Linked DNA regions of Diceros bicornis minor. The protein of the gene in region 3 interacts with the protein of the main gene of each other region in a pairwise test. Links are inferred from orthologs where the notes say so. Each region holds a gene or a part of one and is shown on either strand. Other genes may lie near its edges.

What was found.
Region 1: the proteins of GRAMD2B (region 3) and TMEM43 interact in binary tests that used the Homo sapiens proteins (3 or more experiments, as listed by UniProt). The two-hybrid records come from large-scale screens. The link is inferred for Diceros bicornis minor from reciprocal best matches to the Homo sapiens genes GRAMD2B and TMEM43.
Region 2: the proteins of GRAMD2B (region 3) and CD207 interact in binary tests that used the Homo sapiens proteins (3 or more experiments, as listed by UniProt). The two-hybrid records come from large-scale screens. The link is inferred for Diceros bicornis minor from reciprocal best matches to the Homo sapiens genes GRAMD2B and CD207.

What each region holds. Positions count from the first base shown.
Region 1 is NC_080741.1:88,707,523-88,715,224, forward strand, and holds the start of TMEM43 (transmembrane protein 43), read right to left. Parts: upstream 3,064-7,702; 5' UTR 2,890-3,063; coding exon 2,878-2,889; intron 1-2,877. Other genes in the region: CHCHD4 (mitochondrial intermembrane space import and assembly protein 40), read left to right, coding at 3,466-3,676. UniProt on the Homo sapiens protein: May have an important role in maintaining nuclear envelope structure by organizing protein complexes at the inner nuclear membrane. Required for retaining emerin at the inner nuclear membrane.
Region 2 is NC_080751.1:17,712,040-17,719,929, forward strand, and holds the start of CD207 (C-type lectin domain family 4 member K), read left to right. Parts: upstream 1-4,888; coding exon 4,889-4,964; intron 4,965-5,058; coding exon 5,059-5,175; intron 5,176-6,566; coding exon 6,567-6,941; intron 6,942-7,541; coding exon 7,542-7,693; intron 7,694-7,890. UniProt on the Homo sapiens protein: Calcium-dependent lectin displaying mannose-binding specificity. Induces the formation of Birbeck granules (BGs); is a potent regulator of membrane superimposition and zippering.
Region 3 is NC_080740.1:46,731,587-46,739,278, forward strand, and holds the start of GRAMD2B (GRAM domain-containing protein 2B), read left to right. Parts: upstream 1-4,632; 5' UTR 4,633-4,817; coding exon 4,818-4,900; intron 4,901-7,692.

The DNA.
Region 1 (7,702 bases), on a different chromosome or scaffold from region 3:
AACAGAAGGATGGTTTGGAATGTGTCCGCTGCTGTCGAGAGTGTCGTCATCAAGGGCAGGACTCTGCAGCCAGAAGACTGGGTTTGAATCCAGGCTCTGCCGTGCACCAGCCAGGAGACCTCGGGCAAGCAATTCAACCCCTCGGCGCCCTCCATTTCCTCATCGGTAAAATGGGGATAATAATTCAACACGGAGGGTTGTGGGGAGAACCAGAGGACGTAATTATCAGCTGGCTCAGTGCCTAGGGCACAGTAAGCATGGCACAGCTTCTAACCGGTGGAAGGTTATCAGCTTTCTCTGTAACTGATACCAAGGCTGGTACCAAGGCTGGGGATGAGCTGACATAAGCCACAAAGATGTAAAATGGTTCCCAGATGAGCACTCAGGGTGAGCCAGGCCCTGAGTGCAGGACTGGGGGGATCAGAGGAGAGATTGCAGTCAGCCTCTGCTTGAAACAGGTGAAGGCCATGTTCTCTGAATTCTCCCCAAATGCCACGAGCCCAGGCCTGCCAGGGGCCAATGTCCACTGCATTCAGAAATGGTCTTGACTTTCCATGCCATCTGGAAACAGCGGAGCAACTTGCTGCAGGCAGGTAGGTGACCACCAGCCATCATAATGATGACAGTGGCAAACACACCAGTCTCTCACAGGCCAGTCACGTGCAAGCACAAGGAGGTGGGCGCTATCACTCCCCCACTTCGCAGATGAGAAAACGGAGGCTCAGCAGTGAAGCCATCAGCCCAGATCACTTAGCTTCTGACAGATGGAGTTAGCATTCAAATCCGGGCAGCCCAAGGCCACTCTCCTGCCACTCTGCCCTGGGCTGCATTCCTCACTTCTTGGGCTGTAATGAGAGGCGACCATGGGGGGCCAGCTGCAGGCAGGACGGGTCAAGAAAAGAAGCTGGTCCTGCTACTCCCCGCTTAGGAGTATGACACACCCAGTGACATGACACACCCAGCCCACATTCTGAATCCAGCTCCCAGCAAATACAGAGGCTCACGGACTTTCCTCTCTGCCCACTCCTCACTACCCACCCCCTCCCCTAGCTGGAGCGGCACCTTCCTATGCCTTTCTTCCTTCTCTTCAAGGCCATCTTTAAGCCCCTGATCTTGATGTTGGCTCCTTGATGTGTGTTAAATACATATATATATATCCTCAGTGACATATACCCTCCCAGTCCCAGCACTCAAGGACTGAAGCAATGAGCAATGAGTGGTGGGAACAGATGTCGACACATAGGCCCTTAAAATCATTTGCTGTGTAACCCTGGGTGAGTTGCACTACCTCTCTGATCCTGTTTACTCACTTATAAAATGGAGATGGTAACAGTACCTCCATCACAGGACAACTGTTACACTGAGTAAGAATTCTGTCGCCTCCCTGCTCCGCCCTACCATCTTCAGATCTTTCTTCCTCACCAGCCCTGGTGGCTCCTCCAAATGTGCACCCAGCTACTGGATGAATCAACCAAGGTTTGGGAGGAGAGGATAAGCAAATTCATCTACATTCCTTGGCGAAGGTCAGGTCCCAACATACTCGAGGTGGTCTCTGCCCACCAGGATTGTGAAGATAGGCTTTTTTTTGATGCCTTAAGTACCTACTATGCACAGTCTCTCTTAAACTTCACAGTAACAGATCCTTTGATGAAATATAAACAGCAAGAGATTGAGGCCACACAGCTACTGAGAGGAAGACTCTGGACTGGCCCCCAGGTTGGCCTGACTCCAGAGCCTGCAGTCTTCAGCACCTTCCCACGACACGTTCCCATGATGTGGCCTGCCTCTCCCGGGCAGACCCTGGGTCTCACAGACCACCTCTGAGGCTTTTCTTGGTGCAGCATTCAAGGCTCCAAGGCTAACACCAGGCAGAGTGTGCTACGGCTGTGGGTGACACAAACCCTGGGTGGGGGGGGACAGAGAGGATGCCTAGGGACAGAGGAGGGGCCTGAAAAGAGGGTGTAACAGGCCAGGGGAGAGTAGCCAGGACGCTCCACCAAAGCAGGAGGGAGGGATTGTCCGGGGCTGGCAGGGCTCCCGAGCTGGCTCCAGAAGCACTTTCACAGAGGATCGGAGTGGTGAGTCACCAGCTTCTCCCACACCCAGCGCCCTGGTGGGAGGTGCTGCTCGGTTTGTTGAATGAATGTTGGGCTTAAATGGAAAGATTCTGGCTGGCTGTGGGGAGAAGAGACCTGCAGCCTTTGGAAGAGAACCATCTTCTGCCAGGGTCTCTCTAACCAAATCCACGCTAGGAAGACGAGGGGCCCGAGAGCAGGGAAATGCTCCCTCTCACAGTCATCCTAACTTCTCCGCTCCCGACCTAGCCTACGCCCCTTTACAGCATCACAGCCTCGGTTTACATACCGCCGAGGGCGGGGAGCTCAGTGCCCGCCCGGACAGCGGCACCGCCGGACAGCCCGCCTGTCTGTCCGTTGCTGGAGAGCTCCACCTGGGCGGTCTCGGCTTCCCCACCCTTCCTGCGGAAGGCCCTCTCTCCGAGGTCCCGACCAGCTCTCCGAGTCCGCAAATCTGAGAACCCCGAGGGCCCAGGCGGGCAGAGGGAAGGAACGGAGGGGCTGCGGGGAGGCGCCGCGCACAAGCAGATCCCAACGCCGGGAACAAGACGTCCGCAGCCTCCCTCCCCACAAACCCGCGACCCGAGGATGAGGTGGACCGAAAGGAATCCGGACAGGCTAAGAGAAAAGAACGGACGGACTAGTTGCCGGAGGCACAGACACGGGCACGCAGAGGGTTTGGGGATGGCCGCCCCGACAAGGGTCAGACAAGCAAAATGGACCTCGGCGGCCCTCCGGGGAAGAGGAGGCCGCGGCTGATGGGGAAGTCTGGGTGTGGCCCGGCGGACCAGGAGACACTCACGTTCGCGGCCATGGTAGTACCCAGCTCGCCGCCCCCTCGCTCTGCTCAGCTAAGAAGGGGGCTTACGGCCCGAGTGCGGGGTCCAGTTGCCTCTCCTCTGCGTGAGAGCTGCGACAACCTGCGTTAAGCCCAGAACCAGAGTAGACACGCCAGTAGGTTACCGCCCCGTAGGCCCCCAGCTTTTCTGCTCATGCGCGCCGCACGGCCTCCTGGAAAATGTAGTCCAGGGTCAGGCGCTTTAGCTACAACGTTGCAACATGCACTGTCCGTCATTGATGCGCCTGCGCACTGCAAGCCTTTCTGGGAAATGTAGTTCCTACTCCCCAGAGAGTTGCTGAGCGGCGCGCGGCCTGCTGGGAAATGTAGTTCCTGGCTGAGGCGGGTCAGGCTGGGGCTGGGAGGGCGCGGAAGCAGGCGCGCGGCGGGCAGGCTCGGAGGGGGCGGGTCCGCGGGGGCCTCGGAGCCGCCCGTCGCGCCTGAGGAGAGGTCACGGCGTGAAGCCGCCGCCGCCGCTATCGCTGCGAGATCTGAGCGCTGGGCTGCAGCCATGGCCTACTGCCGGCAGGAAGGTAGGGAGGGCGGGCTGCCATGGAGACCGGCCTACGAGGGCCTGCAGGGGACACGCGGTCTAGGCAGGCCCCGGCGCCCAGCGACCCCACTGCCGGCAATGGCGACCTGGGCCGCGGCTCGGGGTACCCTCCTCCTGACCTTTGGAGCGGGCTGGGCGGCGGTCGCCACCCCCATTTTGCAGATGCGAAAACCGAGACTCTGGGAGGAACGAGGCAGGTCCAAGGTCACGGTGAGGCCGAACTCGGAGCGCAGAGGGACCCGCACGTGGAGACCTCATAAACTAGGCCGGAGGGGGTAAGGGAAGTGCTGAGCACGTTTCCTCTGGCTCGTAACTGGAAATGTATTGTTATTAATTGTTACTGTCCCTCTCACCACGCACCACGTGTTCCATTTGCGTGCGCCTTTTAACTGTCCCCAAAAGTTGCCGCACGGGTTAGGTGCTGTGCTGGAGTGGTAGAGGTGTCGCCAACGGGAACACGTATTGAGCCCCAACTACATATCAGGCACTGTTCAAGGAGCTTTATAAGGCTTATCTCATTGGTCTCACAGCGACCTTTGTAAGTCAGGCTCTGTTGTTATCCGCCTTTTACTAAAGAGTAAACTAAGACTCAGAGGTGACTTGGCTAAAGCCATGCGGCGGTTAAGGCGTGGAGCTGGGGTCAGAGCCCTGGCAGTCCAATTCCAGAGCTGCACTGTCCTATCTGGTGCCGGCTGGATTGCAGGGAGCCCTCTGCTGGGAACCCCCCACCCCCACCCCGTGACCCAACAAACCTGGGCTCCGCCTACCATCCCTCTGCTTCCCTGTTGTTACCTTTACCCGAGAGCTCAGAAGTGTCCAGGTCGGAGGTCCCAGGGCCTCCGGCACACACTGCCATTACTTGGCTCTTTATCCCTGAGCTACCACCTAACCCTCCAAGCCCCAGTTTCCAATCCTGTAAAATGAGAAGTTGGTCTTCATCCATTCAGCAGATACTCGTGAAGCACCTTCCCTGTGCCAGGTGATGGGGATGGTGGACACCTGAGAATATAAAGCTACAGAGAGAGTTGGAACTCATCTAGAAATTCTGTGGTGAATAGTCCCGCCCCTCAGTTTAATTCAGGGAATCTGAAGCCCAGAGAAGATGACCTACCCATACATCCAGTTAGGGGAACAACTCAGTCTAAAATGCTAAGCCTTTTCTCCAGTACCCTACCCTGCTTCTAGAATCCCTCCTCTTCCCTGGGTCATAAAGCCGTAGTACTCACTGATGTCCATACTGAGTACTATTTCTGTTGACTAACACTTCCTTGTGCCATGAACAGAAGTCCTCTGCCCTCACCACTTTGTTAGACAGTAGGTCTCTTGTTTTTAATTTCCTTTTTCTGAGTCTCTAATTTACTTCTTCATTTAGTAAATAATTTTGAGCCTGTTGGATATAATGAGGCTGTGCAGGTAAATAAGGCCCCTCTTGCCCTTGAAGATTTCTAGACGTCACAGGTTATCTGGGAAGGAGAGGCAGTTTCCATCTGCTACCAAAGCATGGATCCTTATCTTTTCCTGGTTGAAAGATCTCTCTCTTAGTTTGGCGATGAGAATTGAAAGCACTCACTTTCAGGCCTTCTCTAGTTTTTATCTTATCCATACTAGTGTCCCCTCAAGCTTCAACTTGTTTCTACCCACTTATTTTTTTATGCTTCCCATGGGACTTAAAAAAAATGATCCCAAACTATTTGCCATTTAAAGGCTCATGTGATCTAGCTCCCGCCCAATCTAGCTTGAGCCTCATCTCTTTCCACCTCACCACTGCTCAGCCACATTGGCCTCTTGGCTGTTCCCTTTGCCTGGTACCTCCTTCCTCCATCTCTTCCATGGCTGGCTCCTCAGCCTTCAAGATTTGGCTCAAATGTCACCTCCTCAGAGAGGTCTTCCCTGACCCTTTGTGTCTTTCACATCCTAAACTCTCTGAAATTACCTTGTTCATTTTTGTCATCTTATTTCCCGTCTGTCTTCTTGGACTAAGCTGAGAGCATTAGATGGGCCACATCCCCAGCACCTAGCACAGAGCCTGATGTACAGATGGATACTCAGATCTTTATTGAATGAACCCATATGCATGCCTGCCCTCTGTTCTGAGTGAATCACTTGCCTGCGCAAATTTACTTCAGGGGTCCATCCACCACGCAGCCTTCAGCACACAGGCCTTAGCTTGGCATTCACGGTGTTCCACAACGTGGGTTCAGCCTCTCTCCCTGGCTTTGGACCACCCATGCTTTTCTGTGTCAGCACCACACTGTTTCTTTTTTGAGTTTCTTCTAATGCTGAGCCTGCCCTCCCCTGTTCAGTCAACAAACATTGATTGAGCTCCTGTGATGCTCCAGCCACTGAGCATGTGAGCACAGATGACACAGTCTGCCTTTGTGGCATGCTGGGAGAGGTGGGCGCTCCTTCTGAGTTGGACATGCTGAGAGTCTGATGTGTAAAGATCCTGTGCATGTTTGTGGTCCCCGTTCTGGGGGAAATGAGACCACCCATCCAAGGGTTTTCTCTCACCTCCTTAATGGTGATAACCGTTCTGTCTTCCTGCCCTCTGCTGGGGCTGGGGTTTTCATGTCCTAATCCAGAGTTCGGTGTCTCCATTTACTTTTTCAACAAATATTGTTTACCCACTATGCTCTGGGCACTGTTGTAGGCTCTGGGATACTGCAGTGAATGGAATAGACAAATCCGTGCCCCTGAGGAGCTGACATTACAGTGGGGGAGACGGGTGGTAAACAGATATATAATATGTTAGGTGAGGAAAAGCACTTTGGAGAAAAAGAGGGTGAGAGATGAGGAGTGGTCAGGGAAGGTGGCATCAGGAGGTGTGAAGTTAGGGAGAGGGTGGCTCTGAGGATATCTGAGGAGAGCATCTGGAGAGAGAGCAGCCTGTGCGGAGGCCTAGAGGTAGGTGTGTGCTCAGCATGTCAAAGTAAAAGCAGGGAGGTGCTGGAATGGAGGGGGCCAATGGTGGGAGATGGGCTCATGGAGGTGAGGGATGCAGATCTTTCTGGATGTGTTTGATGGTAGAGCCAACTGGATTTGATGATGGAGGTGTGAGAGAAAGATAGGGGTCAAGAATGGCTGTATGACTATGGAATTGGGGTATCTTGGTATCCAACTGTTCAATTAGTCCTGTTCTCAGCCCCACCCTGAAGTCCTGTTTTCAGAGTGACCACTGGGGCCTCCGATTCCTGACCCTTACTGGGGTCCTGGGGTGGGGATTAGTTGACTTCCCCTCCTTGTGACTTTGGGTTCAGCTTTCTCCATTTGTCAAGTCAGAGAGCACTCCTCTACCAGCTTTCCTACTTCCAAAATTTTATTGACATGTCTCGCCTCTGATTGTCTCTTTTCCTGGCCATTTTATCCTTATCATTTGATGCCATTTAAAAAATTACTGTCTTTTGAGCAGGATTTCAGGTAAGAGCAGAAACTCATTTCACCTCCTTTGTTAACGAAGTATCTTGACTCTTGCCCTAACCACAGGAGATAGGTAGGCTGAGCTGGTTGGGGAGGCCTGTTTTCTGAGGCCCCAAGACAGTGCCTGAGATCATGGCTGTTATGTGCTTATGCTCAGATTTGAACCCCAATCCTAAGACTCCGGAATATTGATGCCACTGTGAGCCAGACCTCCCAAAGCTGGGCTTAAATCTCAGGCTCAGGCCTGTGCTTTTGTTCTTTCCACAGCTGGTTTTGAGCCCTTACTGTGCCCATGCAACAAACATGAGCACCATCTGGGTACCAGGATTGGGGACGCAAAGATATGTGCCTGCCCAGAAACCACGGTCAGATCACTCAAGGAACCTTCTTTCCCCAGTGCTGTGGTGTGAATGTATCCCCGCTAAATTCATATGTTGAAATCCTAACCCCCATGGGGCCTTTGGAAGTTGCTTAGGTCGTGAGGGTGGAGCCCTCATGGTTGGGATTAGTGCCCCTGTAAAAGAGGCTCCAGAGAGATCTCTAGCCCCTTCCACCCTGTGAGGACACAGTGAGAAGGCGCCTGCTGTGAACCAGGAAGATGGCCCTCACCGGAAGGTGACGGTGCTTGATCTTGAACTTCCAGCCCCCAGGACTGTGAGCAGTAAGTTTCAGTGGTTTATAAGGTACCCGGTTGGTATTTTGCTATAGCAGTCTGAGTGGACCAAGACATCCATGCAGAATGGGAAAAATGCCACCCTCACAGGCTCAGAATGATCAGAGTTCCATGGGATCATTCCCTCCTATACATCATTTCTGTCC
Region 2 (7,890 bases), on a different chromosome or scaffold from region 3:
CACTGCCTTTTCCAGAATGTCATCTGGTTGGAACCATATAGTAGGTAGCCTTTTCAGATTGACTTCTTTCACTTAGTAATATACATTTAAGGTTTCTTCATATCTTTTCGTGGCTTAATAGTTCATTTCTTTTTAGTGCTGGATAATATTCTGTTCTCTGGATGTATCATGGTTCTTTTATCCATTCACCTACTGAAGGCCATAGAGTTTCATTCATGTGTCAGGTACAAGGCTCTATATCTCTCAAACTCCAGGGATATATCCCAAGCTTTCTGAATGGATCTGTTAAGCCTACGCTAACTTAATATGATGAGGAAGTGTGGTAGGCAGAATAATGGTCACAAGGATGTCCACATCCTAATCCCCAGAACCTGGAAGTATATTAAGTTACATGGCAAAGTGGAATTAAGGTTGCTAATCAGCTGACTTTAAGATAGGGAAATTATCTTGGATTATCTAGGTGGGCCCAACATAAGAGTCCTTAAAAGTGGAAGCAGGAGGCAGAGGACTCGGTGTCAGAGTGATGGGATGTGATGAAAACTCAACCTGCTGATGCTGGCTATGAGGCAAGCAATATGAGCGCTGAAAAGGGGCAGTAGTTTCCCAAAGGATGTCAGATATAGGAGTGGGGGATATTGATATCAGAAATAGGGGTGGGAAAGATGCTAGAGAAAATACATAGGGGCTGTCCTGTTCAATACTTATATAAATATTTGCACAGTTTTCATCAGATATAGCTGTGGAGATAGATGTAGATGTATAGACAGTTAGGAAGAATGAACTGTGTATACAGCTGGGTTTTTTTTTTCTGTATGGTAAGTAATTTTTTTTCTTTTTGCTAACCTGCATTTTTTCTATAACGAATATCATTAGTTATATAATAGAGAAATAAAAGATTTAAAAATAAACTATGCATACTTTTTCCAAGAGCCCTTTGCAGCTTTCTTGACATGAATTTGCCCTTCCTACTAAGGCCACAGGCAAGAGCTCCTTGACTTGGATGGTTCAAAGCTGCCTCCTCTGCCTGGAACACAGCAATCCCTCCGTGTAGCCAGGTTGCCCACCCATATCCATACCATGTTGGTTATGATGGCACCAGACATAATGGCCTGTTCACTGAGGTCTGGCCCATTGTCACTGTTCCAGAGAAACTTTCCCCTACATAATGTCCTAAAAAACAGGAACCTGTTCCAGGGTCAAGGGAGACCTGGAGAAGCCCCCCTGCAGTGTCCCCGGTCCTTTTCAGTCTTGGGGGAGTCTTCCCTTCTCCCCAGAATTAAGGATGCCGAATTTTTTCAACAAGAAGAACACTATTCTGAGGGCAGGGCTATGGCTGTCTTTCTCCTTTCACCTGGTGCACAGCAGGCATTCCAGAGGAATGGATGGATGAATGGTCTCACCTACCACTCCTTTCTTCTTCATTTCTCTGCCCTATCCTCTGTTTCCAGGGCACACATCCAGAGGGTGGCATGGAATCCCTTGATTATCTGGGGTCTGCTGGTCAAATCCTGCATTACATTATACACAGGAATCCCATCTGAGGCCTGTGGAGCAGGCCCGACCAGCAGTAATAGCGTCTCCTTTCTCATTTCATAGTCATTCTCCCCTCTCCTGTCCCCCTTCTCCTCCTCTGTCCTCTGTCTCTCTGGTTTATTGTCCACTCTAGTTTCCTCTCTGCCTTAACTGGAGGGACTCAGATTGCTACCCCTCGGAGATGACGCTCGGCCCTGCTGGGGCATTTCAAACAACCTAGGCCTCTTTTCCACTTCCACTGATTTTGTCCCTGGGCCACCCCCAAGCATAAGCAGAGTCTCAACCAGAGAAGTAGAGAAGTGGCCAACTGTTTCCTTCCTCCACCCTTATCCAGAGAAGGTCTAGAACCCCGGGAGCATGACAAATGTGGAAACAGAGAAATGAGCACAGACTTCCCTTTCTTTCATCACAGCGGTGATTTTTGGTCACTCTAGGGCTGGCCCAAAGTTCCTCCTCTGTTTGGAAGAGCTGGGATCTCCTGAGTGTCCAGGAGAATTGCCCATCCATTTTCCTGTCCAGAAACCATGGCTGAGGCACCCGCCTCACGCTCTGTCTTTTCTCCTCCCAGACTGTCAGGCCAGGGGCCAGATAGAGCGCCCAGAGGGATGGGTGGGAGAGGTCCTCAGTAAATACCTGCAGACAAGCATGGCCAAAGGAAAACAGCTGTGACTCACTCCTTCTCCGCCAAGTGGGAAACGAAACTCCTTATGGCCGGGACTTTCATACCCATTGTCTCTGAAACCCCAGAGAGCCCACAGCCCAGGATTCTGGTTGCTTCTTGCCCAGCTTCCTCATGCTGGATCAGCGTCTTGCCCAGTGATCAGCAGAGTATCTACCTGAGGCCCCCATTTCTATCACTTGGAGTAAATGCTCCCCAACCTCAGCCGCTTCTTACGCAGTGGGCCGCAGCTTGGTGAGGCTTCCGGATCCTTTCCTGGGACCACTGAGAGGGCACATGGGCATTCCATCAATAACTCATGCTATATACCAGCAGAGGTTTGGGAAAAGTCAACTTTTTGACAGAGAGGGAAGGGGCCAGATACCCTCAAGTTGTGTTGTGTGGCAGCTTCTCTCCCTGAAATGCCTTAGGAGGAGACCAGGACCCCCAAGGGCAGCTTCTACCAGAGTCTTGAGTAACTTGGATTCTTCTCCACCCCCAGGCCCTGGACTATAACAGGTTGTGAATGTAGGACCAGGATCCAGGAGCAGAAGGGTGGAGGTGACTCTGGGGTTAGACTGGGTACCAGGCACGAGAGCTCAGAAGCAGAACATTCTAACCCCTCTGAGCCCTGGTGGAACCAAGGCTCTGCAACTAGATGAGCAGCTTGAAGAGAGTGAGTGTAGTTATAAATGTTCAGAGACAGGCAGTGAGTTAGTGAGCCTTCAGTTTGTGGGATTAGCTAATGTCAAACGTTAAACAGATTGAAGCTATAGACAGAATGTGGGTAGGGAGGAGATGAGATAGGGTGAATGAACACCATCCTTGCGATCCAGCTTCTTTCCTAGCACTTGGGAAGTATGGCGTGGAGTTCTCTCTGGGTTCCCTCATCCAGTCAGAGAAGCAGCTCGAGTCAGAGGTCTAGTCAGTCTGGAGGCAGGGCAGCAAGGGACCTGTAAGCACAATGGGCGGAGCAGGAGGTAGGATCCTCTCACATATCAAAGGCAGCAGAAGCCCCTGCAAGTGTAGGTGGCTATTCCCTTGGCCCTGCTCATTTAGCTTCCAACCCTTGTCCCTGCCCACTCTGTCATCCAGATCCACTGGCTCAGACTCAGCAAGGCTGGGCCAGCTTTTTAGTCCTGTGGCCAGAGTCGTTTTGCATTCTTGGGTAAGGTGTAAATCATACTTCTCTCATGCATTTACTGTGTAAATGAATGAGAACTGCTGGAAAGAAACAGCAGCTTCTGGAAGACAGATCTCAGTCCACAGACTGTAGGTTTGAGTTTAGTAATGATCTGCCATCAACTCTTCCATTCATTTATCTTTTATCTATCCATCCGTCAATCCTCCATCCATTGATCTTCTATCCATCCATCAATTCATCTTACCATCCATCCATCCATCCATCCATCCATCCATCCATCCATCCAACCACCCATCCATCCGTCCATCCATCCATCTATCCATCCACCCACTCATCCCGTTATCTTCCTTTTCTCCTTCCCTCTCTCTCTCCTTTCTTCTCTTCTCTACTTTCCAAGAAATATTTATTTGGAATCTGTTATGTTCCAGGTTTGTCAGGTTTCACAGACTTCTTCAAAGCATGAGAAGCTGCCCAGGAGAAAACTTAGTCCTTCGCTGAGCCCCTAAATAACTCCTCTCTGCTCTGTGCATCTCCCATATATGAAAGAATGGTTCCCAGCTGAGCCCCCCACTTTGGGAAGCTGACATGTGCAGGAAGCAGGGAGGAGAACTCAAATCTTACATTTACATTTTGAATCTCCAAGCTTCGTTTTATAAAGGGATACTGTCTCATCTAAGATGCCTTGATAACAGAAAGGAGGATATTTTATTGCAATGGTCTCTTTATGGTCTCCCTGCCTGCAGGTTCCCCATACCCTAATCTGTGCTCCTCACCACGATCAGAGCAATCTTTCTATTATGTCCCTGTCCTTGTCTCTCTCCTGCCTGAAGTCACCCATCAGCCAGAGTTCAAGCTCCTTAACATGACCCAAAATGATCTTCATGATCTGATGCCAGGTGCCTCTTTAGCCCCGTGACCTGCCTGCTCCTGTCATATACTGTACACTTCAACATTGCCAAATTACTTGTAGTTTGCCAGCCACTCCATGCCGTTTGATGCCCTCATATTTTTGAATATGCTAATCCTTCCACCTGGAACTTTCCCCCAGTACTCCATTCTCTATACTTCCTTTGAAGGGCATTTTCTTGTATTGTTATGCTCATCACCCTGTATTGTAATTTATTTGCTCAGGCCTGTCTTTCCTACCAGACTGTGAGCTACTTGAGTTCAAGGACTGAGCTATTCACCTTTGTGACCCAGTCCTAGTCCAGTGACTGGTACCTAGAAGACACTTAATATGTGTCTGGTGGATGGATGATGGATGAGAGGAGTCTCATAAGAGAAATAGGATAGCCTTGGGACCAGATAATTAAAGTGTCCATGTAACAGATCCCTCAGGGAAGAAGACAAATGGCCTCTTCCTGAAAGCTTAGATCTTTGAGGAGAGGATTGAGCTATGGCCTAGGCCAGACAAGGTGTCTAAGTCAGGAATGCGGAACTTTGGGATGACATGATGGCTTCCTGTGGGACTCACTTCCCTTTTCCTCTGGATAAAAGGTCCTTGGGGAGAGAGCCAGCTGGAAGCACCTGTGCTGCAAGGGTGAGCGTGCGGGATGAAGGCTGCAGAGAGTGAGGTCCCCGATGCGCACTTCACTGTAGATAAACAGAACATCTCCCTCTGGCCCCGAGGCAAGCACCAGTCACTGCTCAGAATCTGCTCAGTGCTCTGCTCCAAAACCTGCTGTTTGCTGGTCCTTCAACAAACATTTTTTTCTTCCAACAGAGCCTCCTCCCAAGACGGGTCTGCCTCTGGTTCCGAGGAAACTTCTCACAGTCCGTGCTGCAGTAATCTTCCTGACGCTGGTCCTGGTCGCCTCTGTCCTGCTGCAGGCCTTTCTCTGTAAGTCCTCAGGTTTAACTGTCTGGGCCTGGGTCTTCTCCACAGCCAGTCAGCTCTCTCGACATCCAGACCCTCTCTTTCCTGCTCTCCGGTGGTCTCTCCCGCCTGTGGCTTTTTCATTTGTCTCGTTTCTCCTCCTTCCACGTGCAGTCACAAGGATCCCGTTCCCAGTAAGATGTGCTCCTGCTGTCTTCTTCCCAATTCCAGGGAGATTTTCCTGAATAGGATCAACACTTAATGTGCTTATGCTCAAAGATACATTCACCTATTCACCTATTGCCCCAAGAAACGTTCACCTATTTCTTCACCCCTCGTCATTTTCTCCTCCCTCTCTGAGCTCTGTGTCCCTTTGGTTCAGAGCCTTGTGGGCAGCCCCCAACAGTGAGCAAAATGTTTCCTGTCCCCACAAGGAATGGGGTCCCAACTGTATCCTCAGCCCCAACTGACTAGATGGAGAACTTGGCCAAGGAGCCAACACATGTCCACAGCTCATCCCTCACCAGGACCCCGCTGCACTCTCTTCATTCTCCTGTTCCTGTGGAGATCACATTGAGGGAGTCTTCCTCTTTCTTCCTTGGTGTGTGACTTATCTTTCTTCCTCTTGTGGCTTTGCCAAGCCTCATAGCCTCTGCTGCTGGCAGAGCCTTCTTCCTCCCACTGGGTCACCAGAAAGCAGAGGGAGGGAACATCTGTCTTCTCCCTTCCAGGCCTCAGACATATTTGGTCTCAGACCTGGAGCCTCTGAGCAGAGTTTCCTCCATTTTGAGCCTTCTTGGTTTACTTTTGGACTCCTCTATGGCACCCGAGCCTGTGACAGTGGGTGGAATGAAGGAAGGGAAAAATGGTTTCATAATTCTCCCTTTCCGTATTCTCTGGAGAAGTCACTTCCAGATTAGAAGACTGCATGGCTTGCCCCTCCCGTGGTCAGGAGAAGCCTGTGCACAGATGTGGGAGGGGTAGTCCTGCCCTAGCTGATGGCCACTGCATGGGTCTCTGAAAGGAGAGGGCCGGGAATCAAGTGGTGGGGCCCAGAGGGATGTGGGGAGGGGACGAGGGGGTGGTTGAGTTGCCCTGAACACTCAAAGAAAATTGAGGACTGGGTACTAATCCCCACTTCTGCTTGCCTGTGAGGTCCTCTAACAGAGATCCTGTGTTCTATCAATCTCTGCGTTATCTGCAGCCACCAGAGTTCCTGGCACATGGTAGGTGCCCACTGCATGTTTGTTGAAAGAATACATTGTGAATGAATGGAAGATAGGTGACAGCTCTTTGGGTTGAGTCCTTGAGAAGCTTGAGCTTGTCCCTTCCCTTCCCTTCCTTTTATCACCTGACACCCCCACTCCTGCCCCTGGGGATCGCCTCAGCTGACTTCTTGACTTTCTCAAATCCAGATTCCTGGTTTATGGGCACAATATCAGATGTAAAGACCAATGCCCAGTTGCTGAAAGGTCGTGTGGACAACATCAGCACCTTGAGTTCTGAAATTAAGAGGAATAGAGGTGGCGTGGAGGTGGCCGGTGTTCAGGTCCAGATGGTGAATGCCAGCCTGGATCGTGTGCGTTCTCAGATCCAGAGGTTGGAAACCGGTGTGAAGGAAGCCAATGCTCAGATCCAGACACTAACAAGAAGTTGGGAGGAAGTCAATAATTTAAATGCCCAAATCCCCGAGTTAAAAAGAGATTTGGATAAAGCCAGTGCTTTAAATGCAAAGGTCCGGGGACTCCAGAGCAGTTTGGAGAATATCAGCAAGTCGCTCAAACAGCAAAGTAAGTGACTGAGAAAAGAAGTCACTTTGCAAGCTGACTAGTGGCCCATGGGACCTTGCCAACCTCAGGCCTGAGGCCACAGGGCTGGTGTGTGTGGAGGGAGGGGGAGAGGAGCAGAGCAGAAATGGCTGGAAAGTTAAGAAAAGTGGGCTCAGCATTGGGGTTGGGGAAGATTTAGGGGCTGTTCAGGAGAGAAGGGACCAGGAACCAGCTTGGGCTCCCATACCAAGGCACAGAATATGCAAGCATTAGGGAGTCTCTCTGTCCTGGCCCAAACCTAGCCATTTCCCATTAAGTTCCTTTCCTAGAGCCCCAGGGCTCAGCCGCTTGTGATGGCCAATGGAGAATTGTTTCTCCTTCATGAGAGAGACAGATTCTTGACCCATCTACTCTCACTTTCCCCTCTCTGAGCCCGGAGACTCTACCAATCTCAGTCAGACTTACATGATCTAAGAGAGTGTCCCCAAGTCCCTACACAAGGACCCAAGGTCCCCAGAGCCCAGCCCCATTCCCCTCTGGGATCCCACTCAAGTACCCCATCCCACCCAGCACCCAGAGAAGACAGGACACCAGTGGTCACCTTTCACACTTGTTCCCCAGATGACATTCTCCAGGTGGTCTCTCAAGGCTGGAAGTACTTCAGGGGGAACTTCTATTACTTTTCTCGCATCCCAAAGACCTGGTACAGTGCCCAGCAGTTTTGTATGTCCAGGAATTCACATCTGACCTCAGTGACCTCAGAGAGTGAACAGGTAAGTGCCATTCCTATGGGCTCTAGGAAGGGGGTGTATTAGTACCTGTACCAGGTACTAGGCAGGAGGGGCAAGATTATGCTGTGGTGACAAAATTCCCCAATTATCAGTGACCTAACGATGAAAGATTACTTCTCACTTACACTACTTGGCCAACAAGGGCCAGCAAGGGGCTCTGCTCATGGTGGTTACTCAAG
Region 3 (7,692 bases):
TTTCAATTTTGTTTAGTGTGTGGCAGGCAAACTTTTCCCCTCCCCTCAGATAGAAACTAATACAGAACACAAATATATGAAAGAGATACAAGTAGGAGAGTTCTAACTGAAGTAGAAGAGGCTGTATATTGAAGTAGTGGTAAGAGGCAGGCGCTGGAGACAGAAGACCTAAGTTCAAAGGCCAGCTCCTCTCCTCACTAGTTCAAAGAGCCCCAGACTCCCTACGAACCTGGTGTGAAAACCACTGTACTGGATGGTCTCAGCGGCCTCCCCACTTCACATGCTGTGATCTGTAACATTTACCATACAGAAAGTAGACATATATTTTAAAACTTTGGGATAGATTTTTTTTTTTTGTGAGGAAGATCAGCCCCAAGCTAACATCCATGCCAATCCTCCTCTTTTTTTTTTGCTGAGGAAGATCAGCCCCGAGCTAACATCCATGCCAATCCTCCTCTTTTTTTTTTGCTGAGGAAGACCGGCCCTGAGCTAACATCTACTGCCAATCCTCCTCCTTTTTTTTTTCCCAAAGCCCCAGTAGATAGTTGTATGTCATAGTTGCACATCCTTCTAGTTGCTGTATGTGGGACGCTGCCTCAGCATGGCCAGACAAGCGGTGCGTCGGTGCGCGCCTGGGATCTGAACCTGGCCCGCCAGTAGCGGAGCACACGCACTTAACCGCTAAGCCACAGGGCTGGCCCCCTGGGATAGATTTTAATGTGGCATCATTTATTTCAATTTTTAAAAAGACTCTTGAACTGAAAGAGTTTTTTTACTCCTCCTTTCTCACAGAACCAGATTTATACTAGTGTTTTCCAACTACCATCTGCCCCTCAACCAGTAAGCCCCTACCATCTTGCCTATACCTCTCAACACAGGTGCTAAGCTTAGTGCTTGCCTCATCCCTAAAAAGAGAAATAGAGTATTTAAAATCTCCGCATCTGCGTTATAACTTGGCTTGGGAGATACTGGTTTAAAACCATTCTATTTGATTTTTTTAAATTTTTATTTATTTATTTACTTCCCCCAAAGCCCCAGTAGATAGTTGTATGTCATAGCTGCATGTCCTTCTAGTTGCTGTATGTGGGACGCTGCCTCAGCATGGCTGGAGAAGCGGTGTGTCGGTGCGCACCTGGGATCTGAACCCGGGCTGCCAGCAGCAGAGCGCGCACACTTAACCGCTAAGCCACGGGGCCGGCCCCTGATTTTTTTTTAAATATTATTTTCAAAGCCCTCTATAGAAGGAGATTCCATAGCCTACTATAGATTCCCATTCCAATGTTTAATGGCTATACTCATCAGGAAACTTTCTTTCATTTTTGATAGAAATGATTTAATAAAGATCCCCTTCAGGTAATGCTTCTCAACTTTCATTCTTATAACTTTTTTTATAAAGCCTTATAATTAAGTTCTTCGGTACCACTGTATGGCTCTCTTCTGAACTCTCTCATTTTTTTCCCATTTAATTCTCCTTTGGCTATTGACTTTCAATTGAAAACAGGAATTGACTTTCAATTGAAAACAGGTCTGATGAGTGTTCCTAGAATTCTTTGACTTATGACATTGATATATTAAATATTATACATAGTTAAATTATTACAGAGCTTCCAGTTTACATCTTGATAAAAGCATCAACATCTAAACCATGTCATCAGACAATATGCATAAAATTACAGGAATGTGACGACACTTTATGTGTACTTATGTTGGCTAATAAATACACACCCTGCCACGTGTTATAAATTAGGAAACTACTTGACCATATATTGGAACCTTACCTCCACTCAGATCTCCAAACTCTGTCCCTATGACTACAGACAGATGCACAGTGTATCTGATCAGAGTTAAGAACAGACCAACATTTGATCATACTCTAAGCTGTCGAATAGAAGCCCCTATCTACTGAAAGGTGATGGGTTAGACATTTTCTACTGTACCTGCTTCAATTACTGGAAAAAGTATCAGCTAGCACTCTTCTTTGATATTAGAAACAAGAAATTATGTTCCCAGAAGCTTGGAGGAAGAAAAGTAAAGGGTCTTTTATTGGATAGAGCAAAATCAAAGAGCCCTCTAAAATATATTTTAGACATAATCTTACCTCTCTGTTTTGTCACACTAAATGAAATTTCCCCTATCGTTTGTCTGTTGCTGCCTTTTAAATACTGCATTCCATTTTATTGTACAATAGCCCCAAGGATAACCAAATTAGGAAGCTGTTTGACAATGTCTTTTAAACTTAAGCAAACATCACTAGGTAAAATAATGTGGTTTACTTGCTCCTTTTGAATTCCTCTGCACTCTAGGAAAGGACTATCTGCTATTTTCCCCACCCACCCCTATCCTTACCCTCTCCCCTCCTTTCTCACTTAAAACCACACTATTGCAAGTCTTCAGCCCATACACTAAAGAACAAGTTCAGGGCAACCGAGTGCTTGTGAATTGTGCTATAAGCCCATGCTGGGGAAGCTCTGAACACTTGACCTTACTCACGTATCAAAAGAGGTCTGACCATGGTTCCTCAAAACGTTAAACATAGAACTACCATATGACCCAGCAATTCCACTCCTAGGTATACGCCCAAAAGAACTGAAAGCAAGGACTTGAACAGATATTTGCGCATCAGTGTTCACAGCAGCATTATTCACAATAGCCAAAACATAGAAACAACCCAAATGTTCCTCAGCAGATGAATGGATAATCAAATGTGGAATATACATACAATGGAATATTATACAGCCATAAAAAAGAATGAAGTACTGATACATGCTACAAATTGGATGGACCTTGAAAACATTACCCTTAGTGAAATAAGCCAGACACCGAAGGAAAAATATTGTATGATTCTACTTATATGAGGTACCTAGAATAGACAAATTTATAGAGACAGAAAGTAAAATAGAAGTTACCAGGGGCTGGGAGGAGTGGAAAAGGAGGAGTTATTGTTGGATGGGTACACAGTTTATGTTGGGGATGATAAAAAATAGTATGGGTACAGATAGTGATGACAGTTACAATGTGAATGTATTTAATGTCATTGAATTGTACACTTACCAATAGTTAAAATGATAAATATTATGTATATTTTACTGCAATAAAAAAAATTACTTAGGGGGCAAAAAAAGTCAGTTCTGGACTGAGCTCTGTAGTGGGGGCAGCTTAGAGGGCACCTGAGATTTAAGGAGACAGTCATTACCCAGAGTTTGAGAGGGTGACGACTTCCTCTATATTCCAATCCCACCCCTGCCCCAAGTAGGGTGGGGAGCTAGAAGAGGGACTCGGAGGTGAAGGTGTCGGTAATGTCTGCAGGAAGAGGCAGCTATGGGCACTGAAGAGACGGCTTCCAAGTCTCCATGACACCCAGAGCCTTCCCCACCCCGCCAAGCCAGCCTCCCCAAGTAAGGGGGATCAGTGGTCAGGAAGCAAAAGACAGAGACCTGACCAGGCCAGCTCTCACGGAATTTATGTAAACTTTTTCATTTTGCTTATTTTTCAAGTGTCACGAGAGTCAATTCTGGAACAAGCAGGCTACAAAAAGATGCTTTTATTCTCTGGCCTGCTGATATAAGACAGTAGATAGAGTGGAAACAAGAAAACTTTGGCGAGGGCTTTCATCTCCAAAATGTTCGAGGTTATTTAGAAGGGTAGGTGTTTTCTTTTACACACACACACACACACACACATATATACATATATATATTAATACTATGGTTGCATATTCTTTGCAATTATTCTTAAATCTAAAATTAATTTTAAAAGAAAAATGAAGGACTTGCAACACCAGAACACAGACTTAGTAATTTTTCCCCAGCCATCTCATACTCCACTATGTAATTGTTTTAAAGTTAGGCTTCCAACAACAAGATTTTATATTAGTTTTTCTTATTCTCAACTACTCTGTAGCAAATTAGAAAACCACCAACACATACGTTATTTGCTATAAGAAGTGAATGTTTAGAATAATGCCTGCAACATAGTAGCTCTCAAAAACTGGTTAAATGAATTCACAGATGCTTCAGATGCAAAACTTCAGACAGAACCAGCAAGTTAAAACCTCACCAAAAGGCGGGAAAGAGGAAGCATTCATTTTATTGGTTGAGTGCATAGCAAATAAGTTGCTAATGAGGTTTTGATGAACGCTTCTCCCTCCACAAAACTAGGAAGGGTTAGCCAGGCGACCACTAAAAGCAACCACCTTTTATTACCTTTGTTATTGAACTGACCTATTGTTAAACCCCGACGAGGCAGCCTTCAACGAGGCAATATCCTGTTTGAATAATTTAGGCAGGGGCAGAGGCCCGCCGACACAGCGCGTCTGTGTGAGAGAGAGCCTCCCTCAGTCGTTCCCATTTCCTGTATCTGCAGCCGGCTGCCCATTTTTAAAATCCCCTAGTTACAGTCCGGGTAGAAAAAAGCCCAACTTCATAGGAGGCTAAATGTATGGTGCCTTGTTAGGCAAATGTTTCACCTGCTTGGCCAATTAGCTTCCTCTCCCCCAGAAAGACTAGTTCAACAGGTTTCCTTTTTCTCTTCCTCTGCCTCCTGGGTTGGGGAAAGAGGCTGTCACTTCGCTTCGACCCTCCCCTTCCCTCCCTCCGGCTCTTCCACGCTCGCTCGGCCCAATCGCTCGGGCTCGACCGTGTCCAGGTTGGCAGCCGGCCGCGCTCGCACGGCCTGGATGCGCCGAGCGCCCGGGGGGCGCAGGGGACGGCGCGGCGCGGCTCCTGGGCCTGCGCCCCGGCCGCTGGGAGCGGCGGGGAGGAGGCGGACGAGACTGCAGGCGCGCCGAGGTCTGAAGGTGCCCTCCAGACGCGGCCCTGATGACTGAGCTACAGCAAGATGTGGAAGACACAAAGCCTGCCAAAGTGCTCGGGAAGAAAGAGAGCAAAGTTGGCTCGGCCCAGTAAGTATGCTCAGCTGAGACCCATCCGAGGCGGCAGAAAGTGCGCTGCCCGAACTTTTCCGCCAGGGACGAGTTGGGAGTGGAAACGGTTTTCTGGAACTTTAACATGGAGAGCCCTGCCTGAGGCTTGAACTCTTTCCGTGGCGCCGGGTGTCTTTTTTTTTTTTCCCTCAGATTCTGTAGTAGAGAAAAAGCACAGGAGCATTTCAGGAATGTACTGTAGCTTGCAGTCCGGTGGGGATGTGAATTCTTTGAGCCGAAAGCACTATTGGTGTTTTATAATTCCCGAGAGAGGGCTGCGGAAACCACTCAGATCTCTCAGTCGTGTCAAGCGACAGCGCGAACATTTATTTCTGTTGTTTTTACTTCATAATGACGTGCGGGTAGATGCGGTTGTCTCGTAGATGTCATCTGGTCCTTAGCTTCACAATGATGTGTTTTTTGTCATTTGATTCAGAGCTTGAGAGTGTCTTTCCTCCATCTCCTTCACTGTGCCCCTCAAGAGAGGGGAAAAGTAGTGGAAAACGTAAAATATGCTTTATCTTTCCCCTCTGAGACTGCCTGCCTGCCTTTCGTTGGGTACTTAAACTTGTTACATACTTGTTATTGAGAGAGGGTGTAGGGGTGGAGTGGGGGAGCACAACTAACATGTAATAAAACAGTTCACATACTGGTTATGACTATCTTATGAGATTCGTGTGCATAACAGGATTTGCACATTGTTTGACCTATAAATTCTTATGGTTTAAGAAACTGAAAATTCAAATATTTTGATCACAAGGATTAACTTCCTGTACTGAAACTTATCTTCCCCTGTACTACTTTGGGTTTTTTTAATCCAGAAGTATGATTATTTACATGATTGTTATTCCCAAACATTATTCTTTCAAAAAGGAACAGAATCTTTCAGTATTTGCTATATCACTATAACATTAAGTAACATTAAGATAAATATCTAAATAAGATATTAAGATAAATAAATAAGCCCAATTATATTTTTTATGTTACCAAGCTGTTGGGGGTACCTAAGATGCTTTATTGATACTAGTATAACAAGATGATAAAAATTTTAGTAATGAAGATTAATCTCCATCATTCATTATTTCAGCTTTTACTCATTTTTTAAAACACAGCCTCATTCCATGTAATGACTTGTGTTTATAAAGGCATTTGCCACGTGTGTATCTGTTGAAGTTTGGGCTGAAGTTTTGAAAGAAGAATAGATTTATTAGCTGCTTTGATTTGTAATTTCAGAGGCGTTGATCGTTTTCTCTCCCAGTGGCTGCTTTCCTTGGCTGCTCATTCTTTTGCCCTCCCAGCTTTGTCGACTCAAGCTGATGTTCTTTCCTCTACAATAGATAAAAGATGACAGAAAAAATCGCTAGAGGTATAACCCTCACAAAATGTTTTTGTTTTCTCACCCAAAAATAAAATCCTAACTCTATACTAATAATTCAAGCCCAAGAAAAAGATGAACTAGCAAACAGCATCCATTTCCTTTGCACCTAATCATTCTTTTATATACTGTCCTTCCCTGAAAGGAAAATGTGGATAGTAATGTGGATAATCTTATGTGGATAGTCTTACCACCATTTCAGATGTTGGAGGTGACAGGGGGACTTTCAACTCCTAGTCTAGAACTCATCCAAAGGCAGTATTTAGTTCCAGTTACACAAAGCAGAATGATTCAAGTCCACCATATAGCTACGAAGTTTTAAATCTTCACATTCCCAGTAGTCTAGATACTTAGTTAAGGAGATCATTTTGATTGCAAAAGATCAACACAGCAGTAAATGCTACTGTAGCGTTTAGACTAATTATATTAACGTAAAACTCTTCAGATGCTGGGAAAATAATTTTGTAGAATATGCACCTAACCACGTCGATGCTCAAGGCCCCAAACAGCCAGCCCTTCATTTGGAACAGCCGGTTCCACAAATTTATTTCAGTTCAACAAATGTTGGAATATGTCCCATTTGTTCAGTAATGGTGGGGAATACAAGAGTGAATGTGATTTGGTATCTGCCCTTCTGGAACTCTAAGAGCAGTGTTGAGCGGAGGCACATATGTATATCACTGTACTTCAAGGGACATTGGTAGCCATCGTCACATTAAACACACCAACAAGATAGTGTAAAAAGTTTGGCCTATAACTGAATCTTTTCCATAGTCAGGATGTTTATCCCTTTGGCAGTCTTTGGTAAAATTCTCTTGGGTTTTATTTTTATTGGTTGTTTTGTTTGTTTTTCCCTACAAAGTGGTGATTTCCAGGCCTACTGAAGTCACTTCTGATTCAATCTAACATTTTTGACACTCTTCTTCTGAGCTCTTAAACTCTTGCTTTGGTAACAGAATACGAGTAATTTTAAGACAGAGGTAGATACATTATCACAGTGATGTTTTAGTGCGATAATTCCATATTTGAAATCATTTTGAGTAGCAAAACTTTTATGCTTAGAAACCCAGTCTAACTTCTGTTTTGAACTTTGTAACTTAGATGAATTGTCACTAAGCTCAAAGTTGTTGAAGTCCGGGTGTCCCAATGGACATTTTCTTCTAAGAGTGTTAGAATGGCTTGCTCCTCCCCATTTTCCTATGTCTGTAACTACACCCACATAGGCCTCACCAGCTAGAACCTGGCCTCCTAAGTAATAATAGCTGGCATTTATTGAGAATGCTTGCTATGTGATGGGCAGTGTGCTCAACACTTTACATTCATGTTCATACAGAATGAGGTGGATACTATTGGGATCTCCATTTTACAGATAAGAACCTTGGAGCTCTGAGAAGTT